Mytilus edulis: one gene and its partners. The main gene of each other region encodes a partner of the protein of the gene in region 3 in a complex. Links are inferred from orthologs where the notes say so. Each region holds a gene or a part of one and is shown on either strand. Other genes may lie near its edges.

Region 1 (7,234 bases), on a different chromosome or scaffold from region 3:
TTATTTAATATTATGGGCACTAAAAGGCTTCCAAACGACTCGTGAGACTCCCCTATACTTTCAAGGCCACGGATGTAGTTTTCCATACTGTCGTAGAATTTTTTCAAATGTGTAATATTTGACGTTGGACTAGGAAGGCTGATTAAACTCTGCATGTATGTCTGTACTATCTTATGTGGTTGACCGAATCTTTGTTTCAGTACATGTAATGCTTGTCCGTAATTTGTGTTAGTTATTTGTAGACCTGCTATGCATTGGGTGGCTTCTCCGAACAGTTGAGATTTCAAGTAATTAAATTTCTGTACATCGTTTAAAGACAGGTTATCGTGTACGGCAGCACTAAACGAATCCCAAAAGGGTTGCCATTCTAACATATTCCCACCGAACGTTGGTAAATTTAATTTGGGAAGTTTGTGGTACATGCTGGAGTTTGAAAAAACGGACGCTGATGTATTTGCGTGCATGAAACTGGGTTGTGGCTGACTTTCTTGATGATTTGTGTAATTAATAAACTCGTGTGCATTTGGGTTTAGCAATGACTTACTTGACTGTTTGACTGTGATTTCCGATTCCTTAATGATTTTTGAAAGTTTAGTTACACTCATTTCTATGTCATATGTGTATCTGTCGGCTTCCTCTATTTCTTCGCTCACTTCCTCTTCCGATAGTTCCTCCACAATCTTCTCGTTCAGTTGATCGATCGTTTCCTGCTTCTTCACAATAAGTCCTCGAATGGTTGAAAGTTCACTAACGTCATATTCCTGCAAAAGTTCCTCGGAACTCGGTTCCACTTTCTTCAGTAACTTTGTAAGAACTCCCCGATGTCCAGCTCGTCTGGTCTTCATCTTCGTTGTCGCGGTACTCATCTTTTGTATTCTTCTGTTTTTGTCACGGCACCAATGTTTTGGACGTATCGATATAAGTAAACACAAAAGCGTCTTCAATGTTTCGTATGCTTTACTAGTCTATAATATACAAGAGAGACGTTGGCAAGTGACGACGTTGCGGGCCTATTGTTACGTAAATGGCGGTAAAACGTTAAACAAATAAAAGTGATAAAGTGCTAAACTGAAACTAAAACTAATTCACAACACTGAGCATGTACATGTATGTTTTAAGCTAAAAATTATTATAAACAAATCTCAAACCTTCAAATCCAGCTCTCTCTAGCATATTAACAGGATACCAGATCATTGGCATGTTTCCTACCGGAAGTAAAGCTTTTGGGCACTTTGATGTCAGATCTGTCATCCTTGACCCCTCCCCAGCAGCCATAATGACTGGCATAAACTCCATTTTTTTTAATATATTTAAGGAAAAATCTGGTAACCTGACAAAAGAAAAAAAGAAAAGATGTATTTACCCTAATGGTCCATTTGTCAATTACCCATTTGATTCTGTAATATCACACTTTTTAAACAAATTACTTCCCTTTAATTTGTCATTCGTAGACTGGTTCTATAACAGATAAAATTGGCTTTTGTCAATGCAAAGCATGATAAGTTGAAAGTGAGGTATCGACGATTCAACTATTTTTCTTGAAAAATAACTTCTGGTGACAAAAGTATTTAGCTAAACAACAAATTAATTAAATTAAAAGATTTGAAAAACTTAAAGGTTTACTTATATTATGCACAGGTTAATTTGCTCTTTCTGCTAGCTCTCCAGTGTAAATAAAAATTTATATCCCTCATAAGGGAGACAAAAATTACAGGGTTAATTGTGAAAATTGGCAAATAGTCTAAAAGCAAATATATCTTTGTTTACATTTGTATGGAAACTCTAATGAAATTTTCAGACAGTTATGCAGTTTAACAATTTTTGATGTAACAGGTACGTGTAATTGTGTGAAATAAATTTCCATGGCATTATCAATTCCTAGTCACCCCTCAAGCAAGTATCAAATTTGGTTTTCACCGTTCTCCTGAATATGTTGTGGTTTTTCATCATCTAAATACTAAATTGAAGCATGTCATAATGTAATAATATAAAATATGTATCTTTCAAATAAAAATGTATTCATGCCATACAATATCAGAAGCAAGGTGTAAAGTTTTGGTCACAGCTCTCATTTTGTCTTGTCACACCCGACTATATGGCTTCCCTCGTGCCCCCTTTTTCAAATACCTTGTAATTTTGTTGTCCCAGCAGCTTGTGGTTGACTTACTTTCAGAGCAATATACTTGTATATATGAGTCTCTGTTTAATCAATTTTGTTTACCCATGTGTTCTTTTGTAATAGTTGATAATGTGACTTGCATACTTTTGTGATTTTGCACAGCTGTCTGTTGTCAATAGTTCAACAGAATATACAACTTTGTTGCAATAACTATTTGATACACATAGCACTAAGCACCCTTTCTACACATAGCAATGAATTTAAGAGTCAAATAAATAATATGGGAACGAAGTCCCCAATAACAGTAGAAAATTCAATGAAAAAAATTTAAAAATCGGGAAAATTTTCCCGATAATTTCATTGTACTATTAATGAACTAAAAATCGTTCAAACTATTTTATGTCATGTTTTGAATTCCAGCATCTGCGCAGAAATCAACAATGTATTTCCTTTTTCTGGTCTCGCTTGCATGAAATTTTGAGTAAAATATATATTTATCAGTCTAGTATAAAATAGGAAGGAACGCAATATCAATTTCATTTTTGTTACCTAATAATAATGTTTCTTTGTTTACATTGCATATGACGTCATAACTTTAATAACGTCACAACTAAAATCTCTAACAGAACCAAAATCGGAAACGTTACGGTATTTCCATTTTGAAATTAAGATATGTTTGAATTAAAAAAAAATCATACAGACTTCGTCCCCTTACACAGGTAATGCCTGCCTCATATTAAAAAAAATGGACAGCTGACTGTGGACATATGGTCTATTTTACATTGTTCAGCTGATTCCTCTATCATTGACGACTGTAGTCAGTACTAAGGACTATTCACGATTGTGAAAAGAGTTTCAAATATAACTTACAAGATTTTTTTCAAAGCATTTACTTTAGAAGGCAACTTGACTTCAATGATGAAATAAAAGCAAGCATTGGTAATTTTTTTTTATGTTCAATGTCAAAATATTTGTTATTTGCAAATTGATTTTTCGTCTGGTATAAACAGTTGACTGACCAAGAATTTAAAGTTTATACCGTAAACGGACATGATGAGAATATTTTACGGATTTGCTTAATTGGTAATGAATAAATGATAGATTCTGATCAAAAACATTTGTAACCGGACCAATATTTGATATAAAATTTAGCATATATTTTAAAGTTATTAGGTTTACCTTATTATTGATTTACCACGACTATATTAATATAAATTTCATGCGTCCGAAGCGCTTATCTGAATTTACCCCAGGGACACTATAAAAGCTGAATAATGTAAACGGCCAAGGATGCTGATGTAGTAATTTTTTCAGAAACACAGGAAGGCTTGCAAAAGAGAATTAATATGTTACATGAATATTGTTTAGAATGGTGTTTTGATGTAAATTTAAAAAAGACAAAAAGTGTAATTTTTAACAAGCCAGGAAAATTTTTTAAATGATGTTTACATTTTGGAGGTAACTGAGAGATTGAAAGCGCAAAATTATATAGATATCTTGGAATCACATTTACATCTAGTGGTATATTTAAGCAGTGTAAAGTTGAATTATACAACAAATCTTTAAAAGCTTGTTTTAAGCTACATGTAGAGATGTTTGTCATCATCTAACCCTAGTATTGCCACTTTTTTACATCTTTATGATCATACAATTAAACCCATACTATTATATGGCAGTGAAATCATGATGGGGAATATTTAGAACGGATTCAGCTGCTTGTAAAAAAGATAATGATTATATATTAGAAAAAGTCTTTGGTCAGGATTCTTCTGAAAAAGCTCATACCAAATTTATGAAATATATTCTTGGTGTAAACAGAAAGTCAAGTAATATAGCTGTAATGTCAGAGCTTGGTAGATTTCCTATGTATTTTACTATAATTTTATCAATGTTAAAATATTGTCATAGACTGGAACATTTGAAAGAAGGATTATCATTTGATGCATTTATATGTTGCAAACAGTTACATAACTCTAATGTAAATACATGGTATTCTAGTATAGATTATATTCAGAGAGAGATTGAATTACCAAATTTTGACCAATCAATTGGTTCTTTATGTCAGTATGTTAAAAATAAACTATGTAAAAGTTATTTTACATTTTGGAATAAACTGAAGTATCAAACAATTAACTCCGAAAAAGGGAAGCTTGGTACTTATTTTTCTATAAAAAATTGTTTTAAAAAAGAAAAATTTTGCAGGACTTCAAAAAGTCAATTTGTAAATTAAGAATAAGTGCTCACTGTTTAAAAATTGAGACAGACAGATATTCAAAAAAGCATATAGAAAGATCTCGGAGCGTCTTTGTTCTAATTGCTCACTTGGTAAAGTTGAAGATGAGCTTCAATTTTTATTAGAATGCCCTCTTTATGATATTCAAAGGGACGATTTCTTTCAAGACATTTCTAACAATTGTTATAATTTTATAAATTTAAATAAATCATCTAAATTTTTATGGCTCTTGACCCAAGAAAATGTTACTCTTATGGAAAAACTGGATTGTTGTATTTGTGACTGTTTTGAATTAAGGAGATCAGGTATGAACTCTGACACTAAGTCAAGTAAATAATTTGAGAATAAATACATATACATGTATAATGTAATTTTATTATTCTTTTATTCACAATATATATGTGGTTTTTAGCTTGATTCTGACCAATGCTTATATTCCAAATATATATGTATATATATGCCTCTATTATTGTTGTTGTTACCAATTATGTAAATCAATTGTATCTGATTTTATGCCCTTTATGGGCCCTGTAATTTGGGAAATAAAAATTATTCTATAATTCTATTCTATTCAAAAGGACTGAAACAGTTGAAGAGCTATGTGACAAAAAAAGACACAGAAATTAAAACCTAAGTTTCTCAGTGATAAATTCTTATTTTCTAAACGGGACCGGCGGGGGACATTTTAGCGAAATCATGAATCAGACGATTAATCGCCAAAGTATAACCCTTTTTTTAGCGCAAGACTTTGAACCCCAATTTTTTTTTTAGCGAAAATTGAAATTATCAAGGTTCATTTTAGTCAAATATTTACAACCCAATGTAAAATTAATCCTGCGCTAAAATGGGCTCTAATGTCTGCACTAAAATGTCCCCAAGTAGTATAGATGTTTTCGCTAAAATGTCCTACACCCAAACGGAACACAGTTGTTTGCAGATGTTGTTATAAATCATGTCAGTACTGTACAGTTCTGAATACTGAGCGGCTTATACCCTCCATGACTGACACGTAAGTGATAGTCATACATTGGCAACAGTTATAACGAAATGGGGCGCAGAACATTTTAGCGAAAAATAAAAAAAAAATCATGGGGACATTTTAGCGCCGACATTAGAGCCAATTTTAGCGCCGGATTAATCCGTTCACCTGTATTTTCGGTAGCCGCCTTTGGCGAAAACCTACTTGGTTGAAAAATACTCACCTTACTATAACCATGAACACATAATGGTCCACAGTTGTTCCATGACCATTCATTATATTGAGCAATTTGATAGTTGTCACCCTGCTTTTTACGTTTTTCGTGATACTATTATCAAATTGCAAACAACAAAATATTTGAAAAATATGAAGTAAAGACGAATGTGCACCACAATCTAGACCAGATAAAGAGAAAGAACAGTTCCTAATTCAATTCTATGAACAGTAAATGTATGAGGGGTATAGCCAGAACCCATTACGTACGTTCTCTTGAATATAAATTCCAGACTAGAACGAACTTTTAACATTTGATTCAACCTTTTAGACTTTTAGTGCTGTATTCTATCTAGGATATGATATGTTTAAAAATTGTACTGCCTTAAGTCTATTAAAGTTTCTTATTTATTATATATCATTTGTTATAACGGTTAAAAAATATTTCGCTGAAATGGGCATTGACATTTTAATTTTCGCTTAAATGGGTTAAAAATCAGGCGCTAAAATGGGTTCTACTTTGGCGCTAAAACGTACGATTTTCTTTCGCCAAAATGTCCTATCAATGAGCTAAAATGTCCTCTGCCGAACGAATTGTGCATGTTCTGTAAAAATTTCTTGATTTTGACATGAATGATTTTGTGTACCCTCTAACAAGAAACTAAATATTTGGTTATATGTCAAAGATATATATGCAGTCCCCGGCTTCAGTGAGTTCAATAAATCAAAGAAAAAATTAATTATGAAAATTTATAATTATTTTTTTTTGCAGTTAATATTCACCTTTGTAGTTTTTTTAATTATAAGTTTAATCTCCGAATTAAAGCAAAATCATCAACATTAAATCAAATGTAAGTTAATGGCACCAACTAGACTGGCCACATGACAGCAACAGAAATTGTATTACCAGGTTTTCTATTCAGAATTTATTCTACCATTATTTACTACCGGTATATAGAAGTAATGGAATGATATCATCTTGGACAGGGGTTTTACATTTTTACTTGACTGAATGATATTGCTTTACCGGCGGCGTCAATTTGATAAATAGCTGTTGTCATAAACTGTATAGGTTTGAATGTGAAACACATTTGTATTTAAAAAGACAACCCTTTCTTGGGGATAGGAAAAGAGGGGGTGGATTGACATTTGTTTCTACACGTGTTTTTTTTCAGCATTAACCTTTGTACACACCTGTACCAGTGTTTCTTGCATTTTGTGTTTTAGAATATTCATTTTCATCCTGTCGTATGTCATCTCAGCTTTTTCCTTGCTAGAACTATATTTCATTGAAATTTTGTGTTCATTGACACTAAAAATTGTCAAAAATTTCTAGTCAGTGTAGAAAATGATCAGCTTTTAACTTATATTGCGGTTTCTTTGCTATGTAAGGTGTTTTAACAATGGAAATGAGGATGTTTTCCGTTTTTATGAATCATGCGCATATCATAATGGTGTATGGCGTCCTTGCATTACTATCTTGCTTAATTCAAGTTTATTTATAAAAAATCCAATTCAAGCGATATTTCTAGAATACTGCTTCATTTTTCTTGAGCACGAAGACAATTTATTGGTTTCACAGAAGACATTGGTTTAGAGTCACAACCTATTCTAAACAGTGATTTGTATACTAGTGTGGATCTAGCCGTCGATAGCAGCCGGCGTTAATATTCATGAGGCCAGCCTTCAA
Region 2 (7,741 bases), on a different chromosome or scaffold from region 3:
AAAATATAGATAAAAATTAATCCATGATGCATACATGTACAAATGTATATCAACTAAGCTGCATGTTGTGCACTCACACTGTTATATTTAAAGGTTTTATAATGAGGGAGAATTTGGATGTTTTATACTTATTGACTGGGTACATGTATGAGTGGAATAGCAAGTTTATTGTCCCCCAACTATTGCCCTGTATATGGTTACCTAGCTGTTGTCCATTTAGTCTGTGATATCACCCTGACCAGCAGGGAAACTGTTCTGTATGCTACATTATAGGAACCTTCTACACTTCTGTAAAATAGAAATAATGTTCAATTACTGTGTTTTTTAACATTCAATATTCTGTGTCATACAGGAAGTCAGATCATAGTTGTTGTTCTAATAGAAATGTCAAACTTACTGTTGATATATATATCTGCATAGTATTTAGTATGTGAGTTTTGCCATTTAAAATAAAAAATGTATAACAAACTACAATTATCCATTGTCACTGAGGGTTTGAAAGCCTAAACTAAGGGTGCTGATACAACCCCAAGAGGGAGTGTTAAAATCTCTGATGGTTTGTGGAAAGAAAGTCTTTCCAGTATTCACTTGATGATGCTGCAATTTGGAAGTTTCTGTCATAAATGTACTTGACAGTCGTTCAGGTGCACCAGACAACATTCCTTTTTCACTGCAACTCATCATTTATAATTCTGAAGAGAATGGTGAGTATAATTTGCATCTTTAAGATCTAACAAATTTATTTATAGTGGATTGGGAAACATGTTATTACAACTTATATAAATTCCTTTCCACTTTGCTGGTGTGAGTGAGCTGCCTGCTCTTTTTACAGTCCCTGATATTTCCTCCACTGAACAAACCAGGAACATCTATACATGTACTATTAAACGAGAAGACCTCATTTTGGGTGTCGCTTCTCTTCTTTCCACAATAAATTAATCAACACGCCTCTGTTTCCTATAGGTACAGTGCATAGTCGCATTTGTCATCCATTTATATGATTATTCAGATTGAGTTATTTTGGGAGAAAAACGAGAAAAAAGGCATCCAGATATTGTCCCGTCATTGGACGAAATTTTAAGTCAGATTAGACTTCCGGTTTGTGTTTTTCTATATACTTTGTATTTTAATTCTATCTGCTATCATTTTCAAGTTTACTATCCAGGGCGGTCACAGATTTTATTAAATGGAGAGGGTCTGTATACTATATCAATTGACCACCATGGATCGATTAGTAAACTTGGAATTGAAAGTAAATACACTTTATTTATATAGCAATGAATGTTCATAATATACAGATAAGCGCTAAAATTATTCATGTAAACTTTTGATACCTTTTCTAAAATTCTCCAGTCATTAAATCTTTTACAAAATTCATTTATTATAACAACAAAAAAAGATGTGGTATGATTGCCATGTTGAGACAATCTCCACAAGAGACCAAAATGACACAGAAATTAATAACTATAGGTCACCGAACAGCCTTCAACAACGAGCAAAGCCCATACCGAATACTCAGCTTTTAAAGGCCCCGAAATGATGATGTAAAACAATTCAAACGAGAAAACTAGCGGCCATATTTATGTACAAAAAATGAACGAAAAACAAATATGTAACACATAAACAAACGACAACCACTGAATTACAGGTTCCTTACTTAAATGTTCATAACATACTAAATGTATGTTCATATTGAAATTGATAGAAAACCAAAAATTGGGAATTTTGGAAATGAAGAAGGAGGTATAAAAAAAAACATTTTCCTGTCCCCAATAACCTATGACTTATGATACATTTGCTGAAATTCTCCAGTCATTCAATATTTTACAAAATTCTTCCAACAACACTTTACATACTTTAAACTACGGTCTGAATGCCCGCGATTTCGCGGGTGTGTTCTAGTATGTGTTTATAGTTCGAAGCGCTAACCACAACACCACAGTTCTCCTTTACATCTTTGCCTTTGCTCCGATTGAGCATCTCGGTTACACTTCAGTGATCATGCAGTTTGTTCATTTTTAATGTCTAAGTGGGTCTGAGGTAGTCCAAATAATTATAACGTCTGGCAAGGCTATTTTAATTTTTTTCTGGGACTCCTTCCTCACCCCCTCTCAGGCCGCGAAACGTACCAAAAAAAATAAATAAAAAAATAATTAAAACAAAGTTGTACTTAGCCGAGTCAGCCACACCCACATCACCGCGATGTCGAGTATCGAGACCGGTAAGCCGTTATTGACTTTTTGGGCTGACGCCCCGTGGAGGAGGAGGAAGCCAGCAGATGTGTCCGTCTGAAGCGGACAAATCTACTAGTCAAAAGGCTTATAGTCTCAAGAGATCGCAGTGAGCTGGCTGCTCTACCAAGTATGACACCCCGACAGAGAGCTAGGTCGTCTACGAATGATTTTACACCTCTGCTTCGCATGGGGTTGATATCGTTTCGACCCACCACGTTGTAGGAAGGCGTCCCAGAAAAAAAATAAAATAGCCTTGCCAGACGTCATAATTATTTGGACTAGGTCTGAGGAGACTCATACACCTTATCGCTATTTGTCCGCCATTGCTGGAAATCACACAGGTTCCCGTAAAATTTTGACGTCATAAAACAAAATGTCTGACGCCACAATGGAAAAGTGATTGTTGTTGACGTCAAAAGTTCAAGCGGACGGGTCAGCCGGGAATAGCGATAAGGTGTATTGTCATTGACAGTCCGACACAGTCACTTGTTTCTATCCATTGGAAGACCCACTAGATACACGTTGATCGTGGGTCTTCCCAATGGATAGAAACAAGTGCCGATCTGTCTTCATAGATGCCTAAGCATGCTATAAAGATGGTCCGAGTTGATTTTTTAGTAGACGATCCGAGTTGTCTCGCACCTTGTGGAATGCGTTATTTATTTTAAACTATGATTAATATTTAAATGAATATTTTGTTACCCTTGTTTCAATTCTCTTATAAAGTTTCCAATTCTTTCGTTTAAGTCTTCAATTTTTTCATCACCAGCAGGCATGTTTACATTTATGCCAATTTGCATTCAACAAACAAAAACTCCAGAGACCTTCCAAATAAAAAAACACAAAACTATCCAATAGAAAATCAAATTCACCTCGTTACTGCAAGATGGATGCGCCCATGGTTAAATTTCTTTGACATTTCATCAGGACGAATAAATAATGTCCTTCGAAAGAAGATTAATAATCATTTGTAATGATCTTTAGATATTTGAAAAATAAATGGAAAAATTACAGATACAGATTTACTCCTTGGATCATAATGAACTTAAAAGAAAGGTACACATGATTGCTGAAAAAAACGAATCTGCTTGGAAGTAAAGTGACTGATACCTAAGGCAGCAACCATTTGATTTTCGTGGGGGGCTATGTTTTTTTTTGGAAAAAAAAGTTTGTTTCCAGTTTTTGGAGAAAAAAATAATTTGTTTTTGATTCTGAGAAAAAAAAATTGTTTGTTTCACCCTCAGCTGCCACTATATGTAATGCTAAAACTGAAAGAAAAAAATTGTTTTCGACTTGTCGCGAAAAAAATAGATTGTTTTTCGCCACAGGCGGAAAAAAAAATTTGTCCAGAAAAAAAAAACCATAGCCCCCCCCAGAAAATCAAATGGTTGCTGTCTAATAACACGTGACATGATCAGTACATATTGATCTGGATTTTTTTTATTGTCAATAGAGAAAAATGACAACTTTTCCATCCCTTCAGAAACAATAATGCCATTGTTGGGTGATTTTTAAATTTTTTAAATGTTTTTCCTTATTATACAACCATCGTATAATGGTATCATGTCGTTGTCATTGGCGTCTGCATCGTTCGAAGACACATTCAGTTTCCGGACAATAACTAATAACATTCAGTGAATGGATCTCTATAATTTTTTACCAGAAGGTTCAATACACCTAATCACTATTTGTCCGCCAATGCTGGAAATCACACAGGTTCCCGTAAAATTTTGACGTCATAAAACAAAATATCTGACGCCACAATGGAAAAGTGATTGTTGTTGACGTCAAAAGTTCAAGCGGCCGGGTCAGCCGGGATTAGCGATAAGGTGTATACCACTAAAGGAAGGTTGGGATTGATTTTGGGGGTTATAGTCCCAACAGATTAGGAATGATGGGCCAAAAAGGGGCCCAAAATAAGCATTTTTGTAGTTTTCAAACAATAACTTGTGTTTAAGTGTATGAATCGCTCTGAAATTATACCACAAGTTTCCATACCATGAAGGGATGGTTAGTAATGACTTTGGGGGCTTATGGCTGAAAATGTTTTGGAATTGGGGGCTATAAAAGGGGAATTAGGGGCAAAAAAAATGGGGGGGGGACGGAAATAGGTTTTGGGGAGAATAACTTTAGATTTAGTGAATGGATCTCTATAAATTTTTACCAGAGATTCAATACCACTAATAGAAGGTTGGGATTGATTATGGGGGTTATGGTCCCAATAGTTTAGGAATTAGGAGCCAAAGAGAGGCCAAAAATAAGCATTTTGTAGTTTTCAAACAATAACTTATGTTTCAGTGTATGAATCTCTCTGAAATTAACCACAAGTTTCCATACCAAGGGATGGTAAGTAATGACTTTGGGGGGTTATGGCTCAAACTTTTTTGGAATTAGGGGCAAAAAAGGGGGAATTAGGGGCAAAAAGGGAAAAACTAGGTTTTTCTGGTCAATGGACAATTAAGACAATTTAAAAGCAGTGTAAGGGAGGTAATTCAAAAACAGTTAGCATACAATGTTGGGTGTGTTCGGATTACACTACTTTTTAAGGTGTAATACCACCAAATCATGGTACGTCACATCCGGTTGCATACAAAGCAGGTAACCAGTAAATAACAGTGTAAAAATTTGGTTGTCTACCCTCGGCGGTGGTTACTTTCTTATATGCAATGAAATGTAGTGTGAAATTTTCACTGTATCACCGGAAAGGATTGAACTTTACACATGCAAAGTATTTCTTTGGTTGAAATAAAGGTAAATACTGTACGATTTTTTTTAAAAGTGTCAATTTAACAAAGACTTAAAGGGAAAAATCAATGGTGGTATTACACCTTAATAATGAAATGCAAGGTTTTGGACTTATTGCAAAAAAAGGGGGGTAGTAGTTTTCAATTTTTTTCCCAAATTCCAATTTTTGAAAAGTTTGAAGAAGAAATCTTTAATTGCGCAATATTGCACAATATATTTGTAAGATCTTGAAAAAAATTTTGTGTCATAAACTCATATTATGTCAGGAATTTGATCACAATAAAAATTCAGAGCTGTATCAAGCTTGAATGTTGTGTCCATACTTGCCCCAATTGTTCAGGGTTCATCCTCTGCGGTCCTATAAAGCTGCGCCCTGTGGAGCACCTGTTTTTGTTTCTTAATTAATATATTTATGTAGGAAATGGAGTGAATAATGTATTGCCACCGTGTGGATCCAGAAAATGAATCACACTTCATCAGTGTATCCTTCCTACCCTGACAATGACTTGTGAAAGAATCTCAGAGCTGAGTCTGTTTGACAGAAAACTGTATAGGTGGTCATCATGAGGGTAGAAATGGGAGGAATCAGGGTCTGTTCTCCCTGATTCATGTTTGCCCAAATACCTGTTCACCAAGGGTCATTTCGTATGGCAAGCTGTTTTACTATTTATTTAAATTTCAAGATATCTTATATTATTTCATCTTAATAAGATATCTTATATTATTGTATAGTAATATAATATTTCCAACAGAAAGTAACCAAAAGTTAGCGTGCAATAAATTATACAGGTCATAACATGTACGAACTTTTTCCGAGCTGAATTTCAGTATTTAGGGTGCATTTTTCTTACAATTGAAATCAAAGTTACCAAAACATCAATGCATGTTCACTTGGTTAAGTAATTTTCAATCTTATTAATTATTATTTCATTGCACTTTTAAAAGATTTTGATAAATTTGTGTCTAATTTTCTTCTGTTATTGTGATGATGTAATTCAACCAGAAACATCAACTGCTAGGATATATTTTTCAAAGAGTAGTTTTAAAATGTTCATTTAACCAGTTATTCAGCCTTAAAACTGATTTTAATATTTGCTTCAAATTAGACTAAAGTGAAATATAGTAATACAGTTAAAGGAAGTATAACTGAAAAAAATAATTTTCAACTTTTTTTGAAAAATTGTATAAAGGTATAAAAATAATGAAAAGTTATATTTCAATATGTATTTGAATTATATTTTTTTGAAATTTAATATATTTCACCCAAAAAACGTAAATATAAGGAATAATTTTGAATGGTGACAAAAAAGGGGAAGTAACTCTAGTTGAAATATGTTTGTAAAACAACAGTGCAATTTATTTACGACCTAAAGCTAAGGTAATTGGTATTAATTAACGGTGTGTTTGACACCAATGCTGCCAAGTGAAGCCATGCACTTAATGGGCCACTTAATTTGACAGTTTACACAGCTAGATGAACTTCCTGTTCATGGAAGAATACGAATTTGCCGGAATTTCAAAGGACTATTACTTATGAAATCAACCTCAAGGCTAAGAAATACGGGTGAAAACGGGTCATTTTTGGAATTCCCGGGTTATTCAATGACCCGGTGGGGGTCCCGGGTGATCCTTTAGAATTGTGAAAATCTCGGGTCACACCCGCAGAATACGGGTCAGTTGACAGGTATGAAACTATTACATATAGCTTATAAACTTTATAAGATATCTCATATGATATATATCTCATATTATAAATAAGATATCTCATAAAAAAACAGATTATATAAAATAGAAGATATCCTCTAATATTATTAATTGTATATTTTAACAAATTTGAATCGTTAAGGGATAGTCACATGTTAAGGGCATACCGTACAGTTACAGGGGATGTAATGACGTTGCTAAAGTAAAATGTTATTTTCGCGACGTCAAACTATGAAACATGGGGAAAAGATGCATTTTTCGACTAATTTTTATCATTCAAACTGATTTAATTTGAAAACGAGCGCATGGACCCCTATTTTTAAAACGACATTTAGTTTCAGTTTGCAGGGAGATTATGTGGACCAAATTTTATAAAACTGTAAATAGTGCAATTTTTTAAAATTTTGATCAATATACAGCAACAAAATATGTTTTTTTCTCAATTCATGACCATTTGATAAATATGAGTTATTTCTGAATAAAAAATGCATAATTTTTTAGGATACTCATAAAATACAGAAATTACAAATTATTTAACAAAAAACAATTTGTGTTTATCTTTTAAAACAAAAAAGTTATGGTTTTCTTTCGAAAGGGAAAATACAGCCACAAATCCAAATTTTGAGCAAATATACAAAATTTCGACCTCATTTAACTTAAGAAGTAGCACATGAAGGTATATTTTTTATTACATATTTGATTTAATCAGGCAAAAAATAGCCTATATGGAAATTTTCATCAAACTGTAAATACGGAATCAAAACTGTATCGTATGCCCTTAAACTATATTTTTGAAGGTAGAGAGAAAACGGAGGATAGCAAAAAGAATATTGCACAGCAAAAAGCATATTGCACGGTTATTTTTTGAATATCTAAAAACCAATATACTTTGTGACGTCATGTAATGAATTTCAGGATATTGTTAAACCATCTTAAATGTTTTGAAACAAATGATATCTGTGATCGATTATTTAACAAAACAATCTTCAAATTCTTAAGAAGACAAACAAACAAACAAAAACAATTGAAATATCAACTAATATTTTGTTATTGTCAAG
Region 3 (7,842 bases):
TCATGAATACCTGTAAACAATTTCCATGTGCTTTATCATTAAATGGTCACATGAACGCTTGACGGGAAGCTAAGAAAAACCGAACTTGAAATGCGTAATTGACCCAGACTTTAAATCATTTCCGGAAAGGACCGAAAGTTCCGGATCGCGTCAATAGAGGTATTAAAAAAAAAATCTTCAAATTTAAAGCAATAAAATTTTCACGGTCGGGAGGATTTTCAAGGGTCGGTTGGTAAACTGCAAACAAACAATATTTTAATTTAAGCCTGAACGTACAAGAAGTCTGCATGTTGAGCTATATGTGTTCTCACTGTTCTGACTGAAAATACCTGATATGTGTTCTAACTGAATATACCTGATATGTGTTCTGATCTGATCAGCTAGATGACAACAGAAGACAAAGATTTCTTGGATTCCTCCGGCTGCCAGAAATTCCAAGGTATAATCCAACATAGGGACATTAACCACAGGAAGTAATGTCTGCAACAATCAAAATAAAATACATAAAATTCCTTAAAGATTATTGTTGATCTTCTAAATGTCTAACATGGATTTGAAATTAGCAGGGGCCCACTCGGCAATGGCCCCTAAAATTTGGTGTGGGCTACTATAATGTTTGCTTTTCTTGTATAGAACTATATATTTTGGGTACACAATTTGAGATGTGGGCTACTATGCCAAAAAGCAATCCAGTTCAGATGACCAACATGACCAATGATAATCTATTTATCGTTATTTTACCTATGACAATGTTTTAAATTTCATGTCAATTTCATTGACAATATGCCACGTTCCACCTTAGTTTCTAGAAATAAATTTTCAATTAATATTGCTTACAAATTTTACTGTTAAGTTTTTATTCACGTGTGCACTCAAATTTTAAAAGCATGTTCTGTCAAATGTGTTTAGGTATCTAGATTTTTTAGTCAAGGTTTACTATGATTTTTTACTGTTTTTAATTTTTTTGTGATATATGTCATATGTTTTTGTGATATATGTCATATGTTCATGATGTTTTTGTGATATATGTCATAATGTTTTGTGATATATGTCATATGTTTTGTGATATATATGTCATATGTTTTTGTATGAAGTAAAACCTGGATCAGTATACTGGTATACCGACAGGACATGACTATTAAATCCTAAAATAAGTATTTTCTATAGTTGTGGTTCTGGTAATTGCTAGAATTATAATTACATGTTATTTGATACAAGTTTTACAGTACTTAAACTAACCAGTAAAAAAGTTTTTGGTTGATGTTTCATATAGATGATGAAATTGTAACATTGTGATTTTTTTTTCATTTTTCAGATTGGCACTGGGTGTCTACAAAAGACATTATTTTTGGTTAAATAAAAATGGCTTATCCTACAGGTCAGTTTTCTTAAATTTGTTTTAACGTCTTATAAAGCGACTTTTAATACATATCAAATTTGTGAAGTTGTAATGTTGTTGTATCAAATATAGAAACCAAAAAACACATTACCAGCGTGTTCAATCGACACCGATGAAAAATGGATGATATGAACGGTACCTCGAATGATGGAATAACACTGTCAATATCTGAATAACACTTGAAATGACCGAATAAAACTTGAAAATTTAATATTTGCACATATTGGTGACTTTAAAACATTATTAACTAATAGTATATAATTGATGTACAAATGTATTCCATGTATACTACATGTTCTACGACTTATGAATGATTTAATTACAGAAAGTAGATTAACGTTCATTAAAAACTTTTTAAATTTAGTGTGTACATCCAATACGGGACCACGGAAATCACAATGGCTGTCATGTTCGATGTACACATTCAATTTAAAATGATCTTTATGAACTTATATCTGCTTATCTAAATCATTTTTAAGTTGTAAGTTACATCGATAATATACTATTATGAAACAATCAACATGATCAATGTTTAAAGTCACCAATATGAACTGATATTACAATTTCAAGTGTTATTCAGTCATTACAAGTGTTATTCCGATAATAACAGAGTCATTCTGTCATTCATGTTACCCTGATATGAAAACATGACACATGACGATATCAAATTGACATATTATCATGATTATGCCATGGCTGTGAGTAGTCTAAATAATTATGATGTCTGGCAAGGCTATTTTATTTTTTTCTGGGACGCCTTCCTACAATCTGACAATAGCCTTGCCAGACGTCATAATTATAACGGACAGAAAGTCACAGGACAAAAAGTCACAGGACATAAAGTCAGAAATTTGATAGGACAAAAAGTCACAAATAATTTGTTGACAAATGTTTGAATATAGAAGAGAATATCTTGAAATGTTCACTTTTTATACATATATTCATATTAAAGTTTAGGAAATTTATCATTTTACTTGAAAAATGAAGATTTATTTAATTCTAATCATGCAAAGGATATATTTCTTGGCACCATGAAGCATTTAAGTGCTTATCTACTTTGACATTTTGTTTTCTTAACAATTATTTGATCATTTTTGATATTTTTTTTGATAAATTTTGCTTACAAAGTTTGTTAATATACAATACTTCAAGAATAATACAAAAATGTTTTTGTAAAAATAAGCATTTTTTATTCAAAGAAAATAATCAGAAAAAATGAATTGTGACTTTTTGTCCTGTGACTTTTAAGTTTTTGTCCTGTGACTTTCTGTCCTACAATGTACATTCATAATTATTTGGACTAGGCTGTGTGCTGTCATAAAACTAGTCATAGAGATCTTTCCATGGACATTTCTTAAAATAAGGGAACTATACATTGTATACTTTTTACATGAAGCAAATTAATATTTACAATTTTTTACAATCTATGAACATGACGAATACAAGGATAAAACTATAAAAGATGATGAGCAAATTAAAGAAAAAAGTTGCATCATGCTGTGAACAAGTGAATGGCAGTTGCAGTACAAATTTGAATTTTACTCTGGGTTTCTTTTCTGTAATTGGTGCAAAGCGAACATTGAAAGTATCTGCAATGACAACAGCTTGTAGAATATCTTCTTGTTTTATGTCGGCTCCACGTTGTTTGCCTTTTCCAGACATTTTGCAATGTTTTGATTTTTATTGAACTTCCGGTACTTCCGGTTTGTGGAATCGCCAACTCGACAACGAACGACTTTCCTACCTGTTTAGACCCTCTTAGAAGTCGCTTTGGGTAAGAAAAATTACACGACATTATAAGTTTGTCGAGAATCATTTTATATTCGTCTGTAATCCAAACTCACTGTTCTCCGCACCTATTGCAATCTAAACTACACTACGCCTATGGACGCGAATGAAGTCGAAATCTCATGAGATAGGGCTCTGTTTACAAAAGAATCATACAGCTCGATTACGTGATTACTTAGTTCATATAGTAGATAGTTAATCATAAGTGGTGAGCTCATGACAAACTTCTTGGCTCAGTCTGACAGTCTTCACGCTGAACTGCTAAATCTACAGGCCTGCAGCTCAATTTTTGAAAATATTTAGTTAGATTCTGTTGGCCTGTAGGTCTGATTTTTACAGGCCCGAGAGCAATTTTACCAGCCTGGGCTGCCACTCGTCGTGAAGACTGCTCAGTCTGTTGAAGGGCTACCTTTTATAAATAGGGTAGGAATTCCTTTTCAGTTGGGCGATCGATCATGTTCATGATGTTGCCTTTTGTTGGGCAAATTCTAGTTTCTTCAGCACCTGGTCAAATACACCTAATCGCTTATTCCCGGCTGACCAGAGAATCTGTCCCGCTTGAACTATTGATGTCATACAACAATCCGATTTTCATTTGTAGTATTTCATATATAACCCAACTTAAAATAAATTTCCTATTTCAATGTATTTGTATTATGACGGTATTGTGTACGTTCACCCTAATGACATGTTTGCCTTATGTCCATTCGCCCTGAGTTCATTTGCCCATAGAGTCCGTTCGCCCTACTTAAAAATATTAATATTCAGGGCATTCAGTGATTAAAGTTGAATAAACTTATTCAGATATTTCTATGGTATATATATTCTTATATTTAACAGTTTATGGCTTGTTTATGATCATTAGGATCATTAATTGTTCAATGACAAAATAATTCCGATCACTGATTTTTGTGAAACTTGTCGTTTGAAGGATTATAATAATCATGATAATAAACAATGTCAATGATAAAAACAAACAGCTTGAAATAAATAAAAACATTCATTGGTGTACGAACTGTAAATCATGAAACAGATTTTCAAGTTCATTTATTATAATACTCTCAGTGGGACTAGTCTCAGTTGAAATGCATACATTTGTGATTTACAGCTGAATACAATTATTTTGTTAACAAATATCAATAAAGATAAATTTATACATTGTATTCCAAGTATTCTACTCTGCAAATCAAAGGGAGAATGATACATTGATTGCAGCAATTTAAATATTCTGTCAATTTTCAACAAACTTTAACATATTTTGTTAAAATACTTAAAATTATGCGACTAGACCATGTATCTAACAATTAGAAAAAAATAAAAATCTAACAGGTATCGGGGCGAACAGGTACTAGGGCGAATGGACCCAGATTCTATTATGACGTCAAAATTTTTACGGAAACGTGTGATGTCCAGTAATGTCGACAAATAGAGATAAGGTGTATTGGAGACTACTAGTCAAATCAGATCCTGGTTCATTTATCACCCATCATGCCCATGGTAAATGTATTCATTTTTAAACTACATGTATAACCTTATTGCTATTTTTCCACAATAACTGGTGAGGGCAACATGGGCAAAGATAATCTGATTCCTGGAAAATTTCGACATCACAATTCAACGTATAGCTGTAGCTGGAATAAGCGATATGTATGATTCAAACATTCATTTAAAGCAAACATAATGTTGTTAAGAACTTTTGTAGTTTTAAAGCTTATATTGTAATATCTTGAGTTTGTAATGTAGTATGATTAACACCCCCATTGTATAAAATATGTGTCTTTATATTTGTTTTATTGTTTATTTTTTGTATTTGTGTTTTGTAAATGTCTGCTGGTATCATTCCTGTATTGGAATTGACACCAATAGAATTATTTGATTTGATTTGATTGAAAAGGCACTCTTTGACATATTCCCAATTTCCATTCTCAAATTGATATATACATCATTTACATGATATATACATGTACTAGAAAGTCAAACATTGTTAACTTATAATGACGCTGTAATTACATGTCACAATGTCATAATACTGGAAATTATATTACCAAGGAAGTTATCATTCCCATGCATTTACCTCTTACATGTATTAAAAGGAACATCTACATCTACCATGTCTACAACCCTTCCTATTTTTTTAAGGTGTATTTTACAAGCAAAGTTTATGTTGTATAAATAAAGCTTTCAATTAAAGACTATCAACATGATATCAATGAATAGTAAAGAAGGAGAGACATTTCAGCGTGTGCACTCTTGTTGAGTATAAGCACAAGTCTGTGGATTCTCTTGAAATTGAACCACAAGGATCTATATAAAAACTGGAAAGTTGAGAATGATTTTGGGGGTTATTGCTCTGTCAGTTTCGGAGAAAGGAGCCAAAACATTTTTTTTTTTTTCATGTTTGAATAGATAGCGTATTCTTGAATTCTTGGGATTTCTTAAATATGCTGAATCCAACCTTGTATGTCATGTATGTAATGAATGTGAAATATGGATTTTGGGCTTCATTTTTAAATTGGTCCTCATTTATAGGTCAAAATGATAAAAATGAAATTTGTTTAATTTCTACAAAATTTAAATCTTGGGGTTCTTTTATTTGATACTCTGAATATACATATATGACTGTGAAGTTTAGATTTTAAAATTCAGAATAGCAGATCATAATCATGATAATAGATAATTATAAAGACCAATTACACATTTTTAGCTCACTTGGCTCGAAGGGCTAAGTGAGCTTTTCTCATCACTTGGCGTCCATCGTCCGTTGTGGTAGTTTTAACATTTTGAACTTCTTCTAGAGAACCACTAAATGGAACAAAACCAAACATGGCATGAATGTTCCTTATGGAGTGCTGACCAAGTGTTGTTACTTTGTACCCGATCCATTATCCAAGATTGTTGCCAGGGAGGACTTAGTTTAACATGGGACCCTATGGGTAATACATACAAATGTCTTCTTTTAGAGAACCACTGAATGGATTGAAAGCAAACATAGCATGAATGCTCCTTATGAGATGCTGACCAAGTGTTGTTACTTTGTAGCTGATCCATCATCCAAGATGGCCACCAGGGGGACTTAGTTTAACATGGGACCCTATAGGAAATACTTACAAATGTCTTCTTTTAGAGAACCATGGAATAGAATGAAACCAAACATAGCATGAATGTTCCTTATGAGGTGCTGACCAAGTGTTATTACTTTGTAAGCGATCCATCATCAAAGATGGCCGCCAGCGGGGGGACTCTGTTAAACACAGTACCCCTACTACCCCATGGGAAATACATACAAATGTCTTCTTTTAGAAAAGCACTAAATGGAATGAAATCAAACATGGCATGAATGTTCCTTATGAGGTGCTGACCAAGTGTTGTTACATAGTACCCGATCCATTATCCAAGATGGCAGCCAGATAATGGTACCCTATAGGAAATACATACAAATGTCTTCTTTAAGAGAACTACTGAATGAAATGAAACCAAACATAAGAATATTAAACCAAATTCGGCCTATAACATCATTATAAATATCTGTTACAATTGTCATGATTGTGATAGCAATCAGTCAAAGCAAATTGTTAGGCAATTCTTATCTTTATATCTGTTGTATGTATTATGTATTGCTTATTTCTGCTGCATATATGTATAGTAGTGTATAACATCTACTTCTTCTTCTGTATACCATATGCATAGTATTAGTGTATAAAGTCTACATCTTCTTCTGTGTACCATAGTCTATCTACAGAATTTTTTCAGAAAAAAGAATTTTTAGACAAAGGCAGGCTGAGTGTAAAAACAATAGTTTTTATACGACCGCAAAATTTGAAAATTTTTTCGTCGTATATTGCTATCACGTTGGCGTCGGCGTCGTCGTCGTCGTTGTCCGGCGTCCGAATACTTTTAGTTTTCGCACTCTAACTTTAGTAAAAGTGAATGGAAATCTATGAAATTTTAAAAAAAGGTTTATGACCACAAAAGGAAGGTTGGTATTGATTTTGGGAGTTTTGGTCCCAACATTTTAGGAATTAGGGGCCAAAAAGGGCCCAAATAAGCATTTTCTTGGTTTTCGCACTATAACTTTAGTTTAAGTTAATAGAAATCTATGAAATTTTGACACAAGGTTTATGACCACAAAAGAACGATTGGGATTGATTTTGGGAGTTTAGGTTTCAACAGTTTAGAAATTAGGGGCCAAAAAAGGGCCCAAATAAGCATTATTCTTGGTTTTCGCACAATAACTTTAGTTTAAGTAAATAGAAATCAATGAAATTTAAACACAATGTTAATGACTACAAAAGGAAGGTTGGTATTGATTTTGGGAGTTTAGGTCCCAACAGTTTAGGAATTAGGGGCCAAAAAGGGACCCAAATAAGCATTTTTCTTGGTTTACCAACCATAACGTTAGTATAAGTAAATAGAAATCTATGAAATTTAAACACAAGGTTTATGACCATAAAAGGAAGGTTGGTATTGATTTTGGGAGTTTTGGTCCCAACAGAATAAGGGGCCCAAAGGGTCCAAAATTAAACTTTGTTTGATTTCATCAAAATTGAATAATTGGGGTTCTTTGATATGCCGAATCTAACTGTCATGACTGTGTATGTAGATTCTTAACTTTTGGTCCCGTTTTCAAATTGGTCTACATTAAGGTCCAAAGGGTC

What was found.
Region 1: the proteins of translation initiation factor eIF2B subunit epsilon-like (region 3) and translation initiation factor eIF2B subunit gamma-like are in contact, whole or in part, in a cryo-EM structure (PDB 7VLK), measured with the Homo sapiens proteins. The link is inferred for Mytilus edulis from reciprocal best matches to the Homo sapiens genes EIF2B5 and EIF2B3. Residues at the interface, in NP_003898.2 of Homo sapiens: Pro190, Val202, Arg222, Arg223, Phe224, Ala225, Phe226, Pro227, Leu228, Phe231, Gln232, Ser234, Ser235, Asp236, Gly237, Val238, Glu239, Val240, Arg241, Tyr242, Asp243; in NP_065098.1 of Homo sapiens: Arg155, Phe157, Glu178, Glu179, Leu180, Val181, Ile182, Lys183, Gly184, Leu187, Gln188, Pro191, Arg192, Ile193, Arg194, Phe195, His196, Thr197, Gly198.
Region 2: the proteins of translation initiation factor eIF2B subunit epsilon-like (region 3) and translation initiation factor eIF2B subunit beta-like are in contact, whole or in part, in a cryo-EM structure (PDB 6O81), measured with the Homo sapiens proteins. The link is inferred for Mytilus edulis from reciprocal best matches to the Homo sapiens genes EIF2B5 and EIF2B2. Residues at the interface, in NP_003898.2 of Homo sapiens: Glu81, Thr84, Ala85, Thr115, Leu117, Lys186, Glu187, Ser188, Ser189, Ser191, His192, Pro193, Thr194, Leu245, Lys294, Glu295, Tyr296, Asp312, Arg315, Arg316, Trp317, Tyr319, Pro320, Ala325, Asn326, Asp329, Thr336, His337, His340, Asn341; in NP_055054.1 of Homo sapiens: Ser12, Glu13, Glu16, Glu20, Lys23, Arg24, Asp283, Lys287, Phe288, Val289, Ala290, Pro291, Glu292, Glu293, Leu295, Pro296, Phe297, Thr298, Gly300, Asp301, Leu303, Glu304, Val306, Ser307, His309.

Annotation. Positions count from the first base shown.
Region 1 is NC_092344.1:35,350,808-35,358,041, reverse strand, and holds the start of translation initiation factor eIF2B subunit gamma-like, read right to left. Parts: upstream 3,124-7,234; 5' UTR 2,990-3,123; intron 1,331-2,989; 5' UTR 1,297-1,330; coding exon 1,149-1,296; intron 1-1,148. UniProt on the Homo sapiens protein: Acts as a component of the translation initiation factor 2B (eIF2B) complex, which catalyzes the exchange of GDP for GTP on the eukaryotic initiation factor 2 (eIF2) complex gamma subunit.
Region 2 is NC_092344.1:90,857,439-90,865,179, reverse strand, and holds the start of translation initiation factor eIF2B subunit beta-like, read right to left. Parts: upstream 3,083-7,741; 5' UTR 3,035-3,082; coding exon 2,937-3,034; intron 289-2,936; coding exon 202-288; intron 1-201. Other genes in the region: SET domain-containing protein 9-like, read left to right, coding at 3,208-3,290. UniProt on the Homo sapiens protein: Acts as a component of the translation initiation factor 2B (eIF2B) complex, which catalyzes the exchange of GDP for GTP on eukaryotic initiation factor 2 (eIF2) gamma subunit.
Region 3 is NC_092351.1:90,196,803-90,204,644, forward strand, and holds the start of translation initiation factor eIF2B subunit epsilon-like, read right to left. Parts: upstream 3,077-7,842; 5' UTR 3,062-3,076; coding exon 2,942-3,061; intron 481-2,941; coding exon 356-480; intron 1-355. UniProt on the Homo sapiens protein: Acts as a component of the translation initiation factor 2B (eIF2B) complex, which catalyzes the exchange of GDP for GTP on eukaryotic initiation factor 2 (eIF2) gamma subunit.